2 linked regions of the Lepisosteus oculatus genome follow. The main gene of each other region encodes a partner of the protein of the gene in region 2 in a complex. Links are inferred from orthologs where the notes say so. Each region holds a gene or a part of one and is shown on either strand. Other genes may lie near its edges. The genes, in order: nckap1 and cyfip2.

Region 1 (8,160 bases), on a different chromosome or scaffold from region 2:
CCATTAAACTGAATTTCACTGCAGGGTTTATAGTTTCTTAACTGTTCCATAAAGCCTAGATTTGGACATATAGCTGGTCTCGCATTCTTCACCAATGCAAATGCATCATCAAAACGCAGACCTTCTGTTGACATCAGGTATCCAATGACTATGGATGCAGAGCGGGACACCCCAGCATTGCAGTGAACAAGCACCACTCCGTTCTAAAGAGAGAAGGGAAAACAAAATCTTCACATAGTACTTAACACTGTCTTGCTTTTTTAACTTTGTGAAAAAAGCATTTAAGAAGAATTAGAAACAATACACAACCAGTGTCAAGATTAAAAGGTAGAACCTTCATGAGAGGCATGAAGTAAGATCCAGAACCATATACAAATCGTGAAAATACCTTCATACTGCATCTACGTTTAGTAGATGTGTTGGTCAAAAACATGCATCCATCCATTTTTAACCCCTTTTTCCAATTCAGGATCACAGGAAAACCTATGCCTATGCCAGCAAGCATATTGTATTCCCTAATTACAGCAAAAAATGATACATAGCCATATTATTAAATAAAAATGAAGTTTCTCTCCCTGTCTTTGTTTGTTAGAGTTGGTAAATGTAAAGGAAATCATCACTGGTTATCTTCTCTTAATTTTCTTTAACCTCTTTAATGAAGTTGCATTTGTTTCCTCATAGACTTGGCACTTACTATACAGTATATTAAGAAAAGGTGTTTTCAACACATATGTTAGCTGAAAACACAATTTCATTGAAATAGATTATATTTTATTATACCTAAAAGGACTTGAAAAAAATTAGCCTTTAGAAAACCTCTACATTTGCAAGAGAACAATAAGATGACACACTAGTGGAGGGGAGCCCCCATTACCTGTAAAGCGCTTTGAGTGGAGTGTCCAGAAAAGCGCTATATAAGTGTAAGACATTATTATTCATTATTACTAGTATTCCATGTAATTATAATCAATAAAACATGATGTCAGAATTAATTGGATTGCAAACGAAAATGGTGACAGATCAATTTTAAGTGTAAAGTGGAAACTTATTTTTAATACATGATGTAATTATATACTGTACCTCCGTGAGTTCCTTTAATGCAATAGAGTAAGGCAGCTGATTACCATGACACTGGTTTGGCAACAAGGCTGCATGAGATACAATGGCCTGTAGAGATATGATCGTTATCTACCTACTGAATAATGGATCATGAAAACTAGCACTGCCATGTTGATATCAGGTGCAAGGAATGCTCTGCACCAGCAGACTGCGGGGTATCAAATAGGCAGTCTCCTAAAACTGACCACTCAGGAAATTACTGCAAAGATTTAGTTAACGAGATTATCAGATTTCTTCATTAAATACATTAACAAGTGGCATGGTGGCACAGTGGTTAACACAGCTACTTCACTGCCCGGGACCCTGGTTCAATTCCGGACCTGGCATCCTGCTGTATCTGCGTGGGGTGTTCTTCCCGCATTCACATGCATTTTCTCTGGGGGCTCCGGTTTCCTCCCACAGTCCAAAAACAAACTGATAGGTCAATTGATGTCTGGGACAATGGGCCTTACAGTAGGTGTGAGTGTGTGCGTGTCTGTGTCAGTCTGCCTTGTACCTGTTGCTTGCTGGGATAGGATCTGGCTCTCCTGCAACCCTGAGGCAATTAGAAAATGGATGGATGTATGGAAACACGCTGACAGGTCTCCTAGAATTTTTTTAATACATGATATACTCCTTACTTGCTTTTTAACTAATCTAGCAGTATGATTAGATGAACAAATTGTTACATACTTTCTTAAATTAAAATAAATGAAATATAACTTAAGTTTGTGAAAAGAAATTACAATCTAGAGATCTATCAAAGGGGACACCCTTTTGTTTCGTAAAGTAACATACTATTTTAATGCAACAAAAGTATAAGGCCTACCTGTGCCTTGACCTGCTCTATAAACTCTGAACATTCCTGGAAATATGAGGTAATGACAGTCTCTGGAAGATCCAGTATGGAAAGCTGCTTATAAACAAACTGATCTTGAAAAGTGTTTTCAACACCATATGCAACATTCAATATGTGTGTAACCTGAAAAAGATCAACAGTAAATGTTACTGAAAATACACTCATCGAAGGCCAATGTGTAAAGAAATTTAAATATCATACAGCAGACACTGAAAATAAATAATACCTTAAATTTCTTTAATATATCAAAGTCCTGGGCAACATCTTGTGAGGCTAGAACAAAAAAGAACACTGACATCAATGTTTTAGTTAATAATAGTTGTCATTTTCACACTAATACTGCAGTTATTATTCTAGTGTTTTAACACTAGAAGGGAAGATGGTTGGCTTATTACAGGAACCTGAGAGAGTGGACATGTATGCTACTTAGCGTAACTCATCCATCCATATTAAGTGCTTGAACAGAACTACAGTTTTCTTTAAATAATCTAAAATCAGAGCCCCGCCTCAAAAGACAAGCATTTTACAGAGCATGTTTTAAATGTTGCATCTCATATGCAATTCACAAGCTTCTCTGATAAAGGGGACTGTATTAAAAACAAGTGTAGAAAGTACCATAAAAAACATTTTTTAACTATTCATTGATAAAGGACTCATTTAAAATTAATACTTTAAGCATATACCAAAGTTCATAACCAAAAACACAACACTGAAATTAAACATCAATGTATCTTAATATACAGTAACTGATTTGTGCTTCCAGAAGCGTTTCTTACTTGCAGTGCCTTGTTTGCTATCCCTGAAGTCAACAGCTGCTCTAACTTCTTAAAATAATAAGGCATTTCCCCCATCCATAGTAAAACTTCAGAACGCTTAAGCTAAATGGAATTGAAAACTTAACACGTGGTTCAAAAATGAATTCTGACAGCTTTGCTGCTAAGTGCAATTTTTTTTTCTTAAATCTGTGTGAATGACATTTGACAATGCAAAACTATTTGTCTCACCAAGCAGTAACCAAGGTTTGACGATACCGACTTGGAGATCCAAACTGAGATCCTGAACATATCCACAAGCACCTTCGGGTTGTACGGTTTCTTCAACCACCTGCACAGTGGAGTCTTTCCACGTTTCTATTATTCTTTTCCCAGTTAAAGTCGTTACCCTGGTACATTGCTTTTTCAGTGCCGACTTTGAAAAAGCCTTTATTTCTTGAGCAAGCGAATGCATTACATGTGTGTTACAGGAACAGTTCAAAGCAGAAAAAGTCTACAGTAACTCAGCTGTCCACTTGCCGCAATGGGATTCCAATACGCTCTTGTACTTCACCGAAGATCTCATCACTTGCTATCAACTGCCTGAAAACCGAGAAGAAACCATCTGTAACCTAGATATATTTTTGGGAGCATGTAGTACTTTAAAACATCGCCACCTGTAGGTGCGGAAGTCTATGGCAGCGTACACCCCGGTTATCACCAATTGCTGCGTACTGTACTTCATTCACAGAAGAAACAGGCTAGTGTTCATTCCCAAGAACTGACTTCCTAGGCGTCACGTTTACTGAAAATGGATGGCTGGATAATTCCGAGCTTCCTCTTAGAAGAAAAACGTGTTATTTTTTTAGAAAACACAAAACACATTAAACGACCCCTCTATTAGAATCACGTTATCTTTCGTCATATTTTAAAATATTAAACATTATATTAGCACACAAATAATTCAAGTGTAATGTAAATATACCTAGACAGAATGGGTAAAACTGATTAATTTAGTGGTGAATATAAAATGAAAAAAAAAGTATCAAAATCAAGGACGCGATGAAAACAGTCTTTTTGTATTAATATATCAATATTTTTTTTATTTTTAGTGGAGATAGCACAGATAAAAAACTTGAAATAAAGGATATCCCACATAGATTTTATAAATCTATTCTATTTATTATATTCTATTGTTATAAACTTAAATATTATAAACTTCAAATATACTCAGGAATATTGGATGACATATACCATATTTTATGTTTAAACTAGATATATTTCGCTGTTTTTGTGATATACTACTGTTGTTATATACAACTGCATATTGTTTTTGTGAGACATGAGGCATTGTAAAAGTATTCACACTCTTCTAATGATATAGATATGAGAAAATAAAGCAGGAAGTAATGTACAGTAATGTACATGTATTTTGATATGAATTTGATAATGTACATTATCACATGATTGGAGATCATGGCGAGTACATAAAGTGTTATCCCTTGTAATGTCTGAAAAGGGTGCCCACCAGATGAGAGACCAGCATCATGAAAAATGCAGTTATTATTTAAATAGGGTCAAATAATCCCTGTGTTTTTTTGGAAAACTACGTGTTTATGATGCTTGAGTATTTGCATTAAATTAATTACTTTGTGCACCTTAATAAATTAGGTTTTCCATAGCGGTGTGTGTGGGGGGTATGTACTTAAAGTAACTTCAATTTTAGATTCTTGTTTGCAGTTTTTAGTATTTATTATATTGATATATTCACAATTAAGTTTATTTATGTACAATATTTAAATCCCTGATCCCTGGGTTCAATTCTGGACCTGGGTTGCTATCTGTGTGGAGTTTGTATGTTCTGTTTATGTGTTTGCATGGTTTCCTGGTGTGAGTCTGTGCGTTCCCTGCAATGGACTAGCATCCTACAGTATCTTAGATGTGTTCTGCCTTATACCCATTGCCTGCTGGTATAGATTCCAGCTCATCCATAACTCTGTATAAACCCTGTATTGGATAAAGTGGTTAGAAAATGCTTAAAAAGGTGTATGCATAACTTGACCCATGATAAAGAATTCAATAAAAAATATGATAATGGTAAGTCTGTAAAGCAGTCTTCTACTGACATTTAGGAAAATAAAGTGCCTCGGAGTTTCAGTAGTTGCTTTGCTCAGGATAAACGCGTATTGTGTTGGTGGAAAACAGAACATCTCCCAGAGAAGAAGCCAATGTAACGGACACAAGCACCACAGTCAGCGTATAAATAATCCCTACTGAAATTAAGAAGTAGTGGGCCATTTTAAAATTCGAATCATTATCTGCGGTATGAAAACACTGTGCTAGTAACAGGCTGTCAATTTGGACCACAGAGGCGGAAATCAGTGCAATGGGAGTCACGTGACATGCGTCGGTGTTGCAGGAAACGGCCTCGTTCTGAGAGTCAGGGCAACACCTAGAGAAAACAGGGAGACAGCGGAGGGCAGAGCGGGGGGGAGTTTTGCGAAGCTGTTTATCCGTAATATGGGAAGAAAATAACACTAAGACGCTCGGGGTCATAATAGGTCCGAATCACACACTACACAGCGAAGGTTTTACGGCGTGCTCCGTTTTGTGAAACACTAAGCAAGCAGCATGTCGAGGGGTGTGCTGCAGCCAAGCCAGCAGAAGCTGGCGGAGAAACTGACCATCCTCAACGACAGGGGAATCGGGATGCTCACCCGCATTTATAACATCAAAAAGGTAAGGTGGCGTTATAATGCACAGGGTGCTTGTTTTCGGGGGGGTCGCAGTCCTTACGGTAAAGTGTTCTGTGAGCATCATTGTTTCCTAGACGTTTGGAAGCCATAGCTGGCATTGCAACATGACTCTGCAGAGCCTGGGAATGGGGATATGGACAGGAAGAATGCACCCAAGGCCTGGAATGGCATGTAACACAAGCAGTGTACTGAAAAGAGGAAATTACTTCAATTCTTGTTATTGGCGGCCAGTCTGTGAATTAAATCTGGCAGATCTTTGTTTTTGGTTTTTTTTTTTCACCTGCTGGCAGAGTGTTTTCATTCTCCGCGGTATGGTGTTTAAAACGCGAGCTTAAAAGCCCCTTCGCTGTTTTGTAGTACATAGCGAGCTGTGTAGCACGTCAGCATGTAGAAGAATGGTTGGCGTTTCCAGTTGTTGTGAAGCTTTGGAGCGATGGGCAGCGAGAGTGAAACAACTTGTTTGCACCGAGACCGCAGCGTGAGACATCGCGACATAATTGTTTCTCGCTGTGTGGTTGTGTGATAGTTTTGATTGGTAAGCTCATCACGGCAATGTAGCATTAATGTGGGCTCCATAAAAAAAAAATGGACGGTAACATTTTAACTTGTCAGTTTATTTGTATAAAAATTGACATTGCCCTTCGTTGGTGATTTTAGTGCCCTAAGCCGTATTGGTGGAGAGCTGACAGCGGAGGAAAGCGTTAGACTGCGTCCTGTTTTTGTTAAATTTCATGGCTGGCAGTAGGTGACAGATTTTTTAAATCGCTCGAGTTATATATTAGTGCAAGAGGAATCAATTAATAAAATGTACACTTAACCGTGTATTTTTTTAAAGCTGTAGTTTACCCATAGATTCTTAACAATGCACCTCAATATTTTGTATCAGTGTATTTTGGAAAGCTGCTGAATTATAAAATAAGAATTGATTTAACGCCTTATAGCATTTCTGGATTAAATACCATTGGAAAAAATGCATGAAATACAGGAAATATTTATTAAGCTTTGTGGGCCGTTTCTATATTTAACATGAATATTACTCAATACTTTTAATTGAAAAACAAAACAAAAAGCACTATAATCATATAAATGGCGTAGGGCTTAAAGGAAGATAATTTACATTTGATAGAAGAGGAAGACAGACATACATCAGGTAATACTTCTATCCCGCTTAATGTGAGTGAATCAGCACATATGTAGGGTGTTGGTTTTTTTATGTCTGGAAACTTGCAGAAACTTCAGGAATACACCTGTATTGTATTGTAGTGTCCTATTTGTTTTTGTATTTCTTTTTTGGCCCATAAGTGTTTTTCCCTAATTTGTCCAGTTTTAGTGTCAAAACCTAATTTCTAACTTCTTTGCAGAACAAAGCCAGGAATTTTAGTTTTGACATGTCTGGTTTAAATCATCAGAATAAAAGTATAAAATACATGAATGAGGTAAAAGCTAATGTTCCTCTACAGATCCTCTAGGGGGAAAACGTGTCCCTGTTAACTGCAATTTACAGAAAAGAGTACATATCCTAGCAGGTTCTGTTGTGTGCATTTGTTTGTGGTCATGTGAAGTGGACCAAAATGTATTTTAAAAGGGTGTGATTGAAACAACTTATCTAAAGATAGCCTACATGTACAGAGATATTTTGTGTGTTTTCATTGTAATGTTTTCATTATTTTTGGCACTTGTAATCTATATGAATAATCAATGTGGTCTTTTTTCTATTGTTTGGTCAGAAGTTATTTTTCTTAATATTATGTATTGTTTGTCGAAAAAGTAGGCACATATTTAATGTTCAGTATAACAAAATAAAGCATAGATCCAGATATTTACCAGTCATCTTTTGCAACATTGTTTTAGATATGAGGTTGATTTTTTTTAATAGTCACATTTAGTATAGTACTCCACATCTTACTCTTACTGGAATGCAAATGGTCAAAAGACTACATAAAGCAAAGTGAGATGTTTTGTGAGTTAAAGGCTTTTGCGTACATAGGCTACCTATATGCATAAAGGTTAAAAAAAATCTTCTTTGGTCTTGCTGTTTGATTGATAAGTTAAAAAACTGAATGTCTGAAGCTTATGCCATGCCAAAAGAAACAGCACATTTCCTTGTTTTATTTACCTTAGTAATGTTATTGGTTGACATATTCTGCCATTTTGGGCACCATACTGTGTCAACTAGTAGACAGCTGCAGATTTGGATAATCCACAAGCATCACAGACACTGTATGCAAGCTTCATGCAGAAATCACATAATTGTAGCACATTTTCCAGCCAAAAGGGATCCAAGCTAATAGAACACATTAGGCAATCCATGTTATGCTTATTTTTCAGATTGTCAGTTTTGAATTTCTTGATATTGACTTTGAGAGCTTTCCTAATTTTTTAAATTTCCGGTTTATGCGTATTGAATAAGGTCTTGATTAAAAATTAGGAAAATTAAAAAAAAAAATACGTTTTTTCAAATATGTAAGGACAAACACCAAAAACAGTACTTTTGTTTAATACCTTGCTCATAAAACTTTTTATATGTACAAATGCGTTAAGTTCTTATAAAACATGACTATGAGCCTGAAAGTGACCTAAGTTTCTGACAAGCTAGAATTGTTTGTTGCTGTTCAGGTGGGTTAATAAAAATAGGTTGAGCATATTGTTACAAATTGGGGGTTACGAAGAAGTGTTTACTCCAAGTGTCACAAAC
Region 2 (8,199 bases):
AGAAAAGTTTTCATCCACACTTACAGTATAATCCAGTACTTTCACAGAACCAGACAAAACCGTACAAAAGAAGAGAACTCCCGAGTAGCTCAAACAGTAAAGCTTCTTGTTTAAGAGTGTAGATGTTGGTGGTTCAGCGATGGACCATGTGATTACCTAGTGAAGGTAGCCAGCAAAGGTATCAGCGTACAACAGCTTCTAGCTGTCAGGCATCTATACTAAAAAAGAAGTGTGGAAAGCCAATTTAGTCACTGATTGACCTAGTACAGTAAATCCTAACTCCCTCTGTCGATTTAGACTGCCTAGATTTAAGTGCAAATGTTCTTTCATTCTTTCATTTTAGATTTTTCATTCCCACAACTACGAACCTGCTCAATTCACACAAAGCAATGGATTGTTACGTTTTATTTCCATCATGTTTGTATCTTACTGAGGTACGGTATCTATTTCACTCACAGATTGTCCAATGTTTTATGTACCTATTTTGGACAGTGAGGATTGCTTCTATTTTTTAATCTTATGGCGTGTATGTTTTTAATTTGTTAATGGACTCATGTTGTTTTAAAAGTACTATGTATTGTGATTGCCTTTTTTATCTGCCTACAGTGCAAATCTCCCATCTGGGTTTATAAAGTAAGTATCCAGGAGATGTGTTGCTCCTCAAATCCGCACTAACTCCTATAAGACACTATAGTATAGTTTCCCAACAGTGGCAAGACCTGAACTTGGCAAAGGGTTTGAAGAGTTCTCAGTCCTTCCAAAGAAAATTTAGGGGACAGAAATCCCACTTGGCTTAGAAAGCCAACAATCTCTGAGCTAAACGCACTTTAGGTTTAATTGAATGTTGCCCTTAATTTGGTCTGAAATGTCATACTTTGCAGACAACTTTTATCTTGTTTATACTGGACGCTAATAAAGCTTTAATTCTCCCTCAAACACTGAGAACTCACCTTATCTGTTTGTTCTCATGTCAAAAGTAAAGACATGGGCATGTGATACTCACACCTGAAACAAAAGTGCTCTCAACCTTTAGAAACTGCAGATTAACTTGTTGGTTATAAACCCGGCTGGACTGAGGCTCTCCACGCCCAGGGTTAGACATACACACTCTACAGTTTGCGTTCTGTTGCAAATAGAAGCAAAAACCATGATACCTCTAAGTCCTAAGCAGAGGTTTGTCAGATTTCTCTTGTGTGCATGCGAGAACACATTCAAACGAGGAACTGATGTAAGAGGATGGTATCTGTTCCCAGGACTGCTGAATTACCTGGGTCTACAAACAATAACTTGTGATTATGCCAAAATAAAACACATCAGTTGTGTTCTAGAGCTGTCTGTAAATTTGGGGTCCTGCTTATTTAAGTGTTATATCACTGCTGGATAGTCCCGTGCTTTATTGCCAAGTCTCCTTGATAGTTTAACTAGGCAATGATTGTGATGGGAAATAATTTCCCCCTTGGTTCCTGTTCCCCGGTTCCCTGGGATACATTCTTAATGAGACACACATGAACACCACATACAGTACATACAATAGGAAAAGAACAATGGTATGACTTCAGAACCATTGCATCAAGCAGTTCCTGTCAAGCTTTGCACCAAGTTAGCAGGTACAGTAGGAAGTTACAGACTTCGAAGTTGCATTTTGGTAGTTCATACTGTACATACAACAAGGATCTGACTTGTGACCAAAACAGTTCAGGAGAAATGTTCCTGGCCACAAAACAGCAAACTTTCCACACAATGGCAGAAGTAAAACACCATTTAGGAGAAGGTGTAAGTCAATTTGATGCAACAAAGAAAGCTTTTAAAAAGCTTATCTTAAAGCACTTATCATTTTTACAACAGACTATGTAATGCTTTCTATGATATATTATAAGGTGTAATAGAGCCCTACCACTGTCTAACACATTTTTCCTTAACAAGTTTTTTTAAAATTAATTCTATACAAATGTAACTCATCTAAATGTTTGCATCATTTTTTTTAATTTTATAAACAAATTTTTAGCAAAGAGTTTCTGCTGTCATAAAAATGATAAAAAACGTTTTTTTTTTCTTTGAAGTCATTGCGTACCGGATTACCAAGCTCCTGGTTACAACATATTTGGATTTGGTTGTGCAAATGGCTGAATGACAACATAACATTTTCACTCAGTTATACGTTATTTAATGTACGTGCCCAAGGTTTGATATTATGCATTATTCAGGTCTAGACTAGGGATCGTGTAGCTACAGTACTTGAATTACTGAGAACAGGGCGTCACGTAGCGTTTGAGGAGATACAAAGTATTTCTTAATGTTCAGGCAGAGTGACTGCAACAGAAACAAATCAACCAGTTGAAACCAGGTAATAATAGAAAATGAGAGACCATGCTTCATGAATATTATTATTCTTAATTTGCATATTTGCTCTAGTTTTTCGATTGCAGAAAAAAATAACTATACGAGGCCTGGCTATTGCAAGCTGCCTGCATGACACCACAGAGATCCTATCAGAACCGCGACATCCAGCTCTGGGTATTCAGGTGGATTTAAAGAGACACGTCGTGTAAAGCGACACAAAATTAAAAATAAAATAAAGCCCAGGTCCATCACTTCAAAATGTATTGAAAACAATAACAGACACCAAATTTGAGTGAATGCAGGTTTAAACTGTAGATAAGGATCGCGACATGAATATAGAGATGTTATGTATTTTTCATCATTTAGAAAAAAAACCCATAATCTATATTTTTCTGAAAACCCGTCATTCGTGAAAAGTAATGCACACATCCGATATCAAGTAAGACATACAGGAATTACAATACCGAGTAGCACACATAGACACAGTTCACCCCACCCAATTAAAAAATACTCGAATGGTAGCTGAGGCTTATGCATTATCACGTTCGAGAGAAAAATCTTCTAGAATACCTAAAGGATAGTAAGGAAAAAATATTTATACTTATCCATAGATTTAGTCACCTGCAAAAAATGTCCACAATTTTTTCTCATATATTACAATTATCTAAATAGCAAAGCCTGTGGTAGCATACAGCATCATGTAACTGCACTAAACCCATTGGCAGGTCTGTGCCATCTCTCTCATCGCGTTTGAACAATATTGATGATAAAGAATTAAATCTTACCTGATGCTCGCATGACCCTTTTTGGCGATGCTGACGGAACGGTTCGCATTTACGCCTCAGACCTGTGTTTTAAAGTGGTGATGTCTCAGTGATGCTCTTGCCTGGCAGAATGCTCATCCGCTAATCCCCGAAACACAAAGAGCAGAAAATGGCTGCAAATGTGTTTCCTTAAAGCTACATGACAGTCAACACAGCAGCAGTCACATCACTGCTCGGCTCCGAAGCGGTTCGCGTTAGCTATATTTAGTGGATGAATGTGCAGGTTGGAAGAGTATTTTTTTTTCATTTAATGTTCTCAGTCCAGTTGTTGATGCATTTAATCTGCCCTTCCCCTCAACATAGAAAGCTCGCGTTATTTTATAAACTGTAGCTATATACAAATTAATATTAATATTGTAGCCGTATGCGTTACAATATCAATCAGCAAGCCAATTCATGGTAACTGAACCATAACCCAGACTGAAATCTGCATTGAGTTTATTCCAACGGCAGCACTTGAATGATAAAACCATCAAATTGTGCAAATGACACTGATGTGTACATAATTTACAGAAGTTATTCCTCTTTCACTTGGAAGCGGGGTTTCAAACCATACAGTATAATACTGCATGATGGAGACTATTTCGGTTATTACATGGCCAAAAAAAATTAAACCAGTTTTTTTTTTTTTGTATCGAGCATATTCATGTCAGGGTTGTCCTGGAGTGTTGAACAAGAAACGTGCGAAGATAAAAAAAGAATAAAAAGTTCTTAGTTTAAAAGCATAACACGAAAAACAGAACAGTAGAAGATAAAAAACGAAACTTAAAGAGAACAACTGACTTCCATGTCTACTGGTCTTCGAAAACGGGTAAGTACTGTAACTGGTATCTGCAGAATGCAAATACTTGGGTTGAACAAACACAAAAAAGTACTAAACCGAACCTCTTATAAATACTGTAGCTCAACGATACCGTTCTAAGATGAACCCAGATTTGATATATAGAACATAAAGAAACCATGACAAGATCAATGTAATTCTAAGAGTTGAGTTTGTTTTAATTCTCATACTGAATTATGTATAGTAAAACCCTTAATTCAAAGAAACACACAAACCCCAATAATGGGAGTGTGGAACATTTATTGGTACGGCTAGGCTTAAACCTGCTTGAGACATCCACGTGGATAAATGTATGAGACCCGCTATATTATAAACCAGATGTTTTCTACATTGGCAGTGGCACTAGGAGGGATGGATACCAATAGGTGATATTGTGACAAACACTATGAAATAGTGACTTAAAGGCCTATTATACCTTACAGTCAGTGATCAGTGGAAAATGGAGTGTGTCCTGTACCATTGTTATGAACTTCAGATAACATTTATTTTCCTAAATATGGATATACAAGATGTGAAATTAACATTTTCCTTCCCCCATCCTTCCCTTATCTCGTGTGGCTGTCCTTGTGCAGGTGGGTCACAGTTAAATTGTAGTGTCTGAAATATATCAAGTCGGGTAAAAAAATAATTTCTAGACATGCCACAAATCAATCTCAGTATCCGTTAACAAAACACAGAGGAGAGTGGTGGTACACTGAGACACAAGTGTCTGTTGTGTTTATAGAAACCAGAAACTTTAAAGTGATTTCTCTCATAATCACTCCTTTTTGGCATATCAACCGTAACCATGGACAATATAACAATACAACACTATAAACAGAGGGTATAACAGAAGATATAAGCAATTTTTGAAAGCTGTCTCACTGAGCCTCACCCTTTTTGGTGCCCCGCCTAATGTAATGATACGTCAGGCAGGACACAGTGAGACATACTGTACCACCTCTGGGACATTAAAGCATCAGACATTTACAGGGAAATGTGAAGCAATGCTCAGATAAGAATAAAACTTTTCATACATGAACATGTATTTTGTCTCTGACCAAATCATGGTAAGTAGATTAGATATCTTGTTATTTAGGTCCACAGTTGTAAAAGAACAATTGTACTACACTAAGTTGATTTTATCGAAAGAATGGCGGTACTGCAATACTGATTAACTTGCGAAATCTTTAATATGTGATAATATGCAAGATGCTTTGGATAAAAATGTTATATACTGGAGCTGCAATTTATTCTTAGAACAATTATTGAAGTAGATCATCCTTGGTTATAGATTTAAGAGAATTATAATGTATTGATTTCAGGCACAATTATTTTAGTGGTTAATAATAGTGAGCATCCTTTGAATTGCATATAACAAAAACTAGCACAGGGTACAAACCTATACAACATGTGTGTCTCACTCTGCTCCTCTGAACTGTATCAACTATGACAAGCCCACCCACTGGGCCTATTATTTTTAAGTGAGGGAGAAAATAAGGTGAAAACATTTAGCTTTTTTAGAGGTAACTCTTAAGACACTTTAGGGTTTCCCTTTCTCACAAACCTTTGTTCTCTTTTGAACAGGACAGTGGAAAAAATATTAGGAATACAAAACTGCCTTATAAATCATGCCTCTTACCTAATTGCTTCCTTTAGTTCCAAAACAAGAAGTTTGGAAGGGCCACTGCAGTTCTACTCTCTAAATGTAAAGACTGGAATATTTTTTAGTGTTTGCGTTTCTCCAGATCTCATTGTGCCCCATCTTCCATTGCACACAATGATTTACTGTTACTTATCTTATGGTGTTAACAGTTTAAAAAGAAACATTACCCATTATTACTGTTACAGTTGTGTTTTTTTAGTAACTGGACTTCACAGCAACTTCTGACACAAACACAAGGAGAAAAATGTAATACATTCCATTTTTTAATTGTTTACTTACAAAATCAAGGTACTTATAGACCAATAAGTAAAGATAACTACTAAAATGTAAAATATTAAAGTGTGTGTTATACTGTATTATCGTGTTCAAATAAGCTGCATGACTGGGTTGATATAGAAAAAATATTTCTTATTCTTTTTACAGATAAGGAGACAATTGAATGTTATACAGAAAGTAGTGCTTTCAGATAAATTAGAAGGAGCATTCAATACATGAAGAAGGTAATATACGGATTAAAAAAATAGGATTTTAAAATTGCACATAGCAACGAATGCAACTAAGCCATTGTTTCCTCCTTAATGGAATTAAAGTAATAAAAACAAAAACCTTTGAATACATTAACAAAGCTAACCTTTTTACACTCTTGGAATAGTTGTGAGAGCTAAAGAATCTCGCACAGACTGAACAATCACATTCACAAGAAAATCAATTACTGCCAATAGATGTCACTCTTTCATATGAACAGACAAATGCTCGCAACGCTAATGGTTAGCACAACAGGCAATTCAGATTTCCCCCCTCTGTTCCTCCTGCCTCCCAAAGGCCTGTTTAACTGGTGCTCTACATGGTCCTTCTGTGAGTCCCGATGGACTGGACTCCCATCTAGAGTGTAGTTCTGCCTTGTACGCTGTCTGTCTGTGTTAGGCTGCAGGTTACCGCAACCTTTACCTATACCAGAAATATGCAGATTTCTGATAGTATCTAAAAATAACTAAAAAAATAATGTAATAAAAATAATGGATGATCAATAGAGTGAGTGTAAGAGTGTCAGTGTGAGATTATCTGTCATCACAGCAGTGTGCCGTTGTAAAGGTTTGAGGGTCTATCAGTGTGTAAGCATCTGTACAAGTGTTAGTGTGACATTATCTGTCAGTGTACCACTTTGTAGCCTGATTAGAAGCTAGGCAATGATGGGACTGACCAACACAGGAATGGAAAATCCCCAGTCCTGCACCTCACACACCAGATAAATCCTTAACTGAACCAGTGACTGTCCTGGTTGTTACCGTTGTAACTATGTTTTCTGGACTGAAAGGTTTGATACCTTAAGTTCCATTTGAAACACAATCATTAAAAGGCAACCTCCTACATGTTTAACAATTCAAAACAACTAAAGAAGTCACATTTATACACCTATAATTTGGTCTGTTAAGGGGTTCAACTGATTGCTCAGCTGGAGCACTCAAATCAGCAGATGTGTGGATCTCCGGGACCAAGGCTGGGAGCTCCTACTCTGAGCAAAACGAACCTGCAGCTGTTGTAGGCTGTGGACCAGCAGGCCAGAGTAACCATCTGACTGAGAATTTAAACCTGGCTCTTAGCTTTATAGTTGTTAAAGCTGCACTGTTTGTAAGAGTAGGTGTTTATGGAAATCATAATTAACTATAGGAAAAATGTAATTAAAATACAAGATGTCAGGATTAAAATATTTCTCAGAACTGAATTTGTACAAGCAAGTAACAAAGATGTAAGGAAGGTTATAAACAATAGGGAGACATTCAGCCCATTTGATACCAAAAGTAGTTAATTATCAAACTACCAATTGTTAATTAGTAGTTAATTGATTGGGGATGTCATCCAGCCATTCCTTGAATGAAACCAGGATATTGGCCTAAACAACATGACTGGATAGCTTGTCATGATAGCCATAAAAAGTCCCATGGTCGATTCTGAAAAAGATTACTGTTAAATTATATTGTAAAGAACACAAATGCAGGATGGTATTTATTAAGCAACCATGTGACAATTTCTGTCAAGGAACAGGTAAAGGTTTAATCCATGCTGAAAAGAGAAGAAAAGAATCAACGTTTCGGCTGTGGACCTTCTTCAAATGAATCTTTACTTGTTCCTTTGCAGCCTACGCATGCTGACGCAGCTCCCCACCTGAACCATTTTTGTTAAGGCCTTGTCTAAGAGCCTTGTAGCTTTTCTGCTTTTGTATGCTACTGCAATGTAAATTTTGGTATCTGAAAAAGCAATAAATACAGTATAAATATATATATATTCTTTTCTTTATACAGTTTATGTCCATTTCATCTGGGCTTCCAACAGCTTAATTTCAGAAATCAGCAATTTCTGCCAGCTGATGGAAGAGAATTGCAAAAGATGGGCGGTCTTCTGGTTTCTAAGGAGAGAATTAAACAAAAACATGAAAAAAAAATGTTTAAAAAGTTTGCATCAGGAGAACTTCTTCTATCCCAACAATAACAGTATAGGTAAAATGAAAAACTCTTTGTTGTGTTGTGAATCTTTTCTTTTTTCACAGCTTA

Evidence for each region.
Region 1: cyfip2 (region 2) and nckap1 share a complex: the UniProt entries of both Homo sapiens proteins name them as parts of the WAVE1 complex. The link is inferred for Lepisosteus oculatus from reciprocal best matches to the Homo sapiens genes CYFIP2 and NCKAP1.

What each region holds. Positions count from the first base shown.
Region 1 is NC_090707.1:18,461,874-18,470,033, reverse strand, and holds the start of nckap1 (nck-associated protein 1), read left to right. Parts: upstream 1-5,122; 5' UTR 5,123-5,340; coding exon 5,341-5,448; intron 5,449-8,160. Other genes in the region: dusp19a (dual specificity protein phosphatase 19), read right to left, coding at 1-203, 1,928-2,080, 2,184-2,230, 2,962-3,184. UniProt on the Homo sapiens protein: Part of the WAVE complex that regulates lamellipodia formation. The WAVE complex regulates actin filament reorganization via its interaction with the Arp2/3 complex. Actin remodeling activity is regulated by RAC1.
Region 2 is NC_090706.1:30,455,224-30,463,422, reverse strand, and holds the start of cyfip2 (cytoplasmic FMR1-interacting protein 2), read right to left. Parts: upstream 3,052-8,199; 5' UTR 2,962-3,051; intron 1-2,961. Other genes in the region: itk (tyrosine-protein kinase ITK/TSK), read right to left, coding at 7,989-8,054. UniProt on the Homo sapiens protein: Involved in T-cell adhesion and p53/TP53-dependent induction of apoptosis. Does not bind RNA. As component of the WAVE1 complex, required for BDNF-NTRK2 endocytic trafficking and signaling from early endosomes.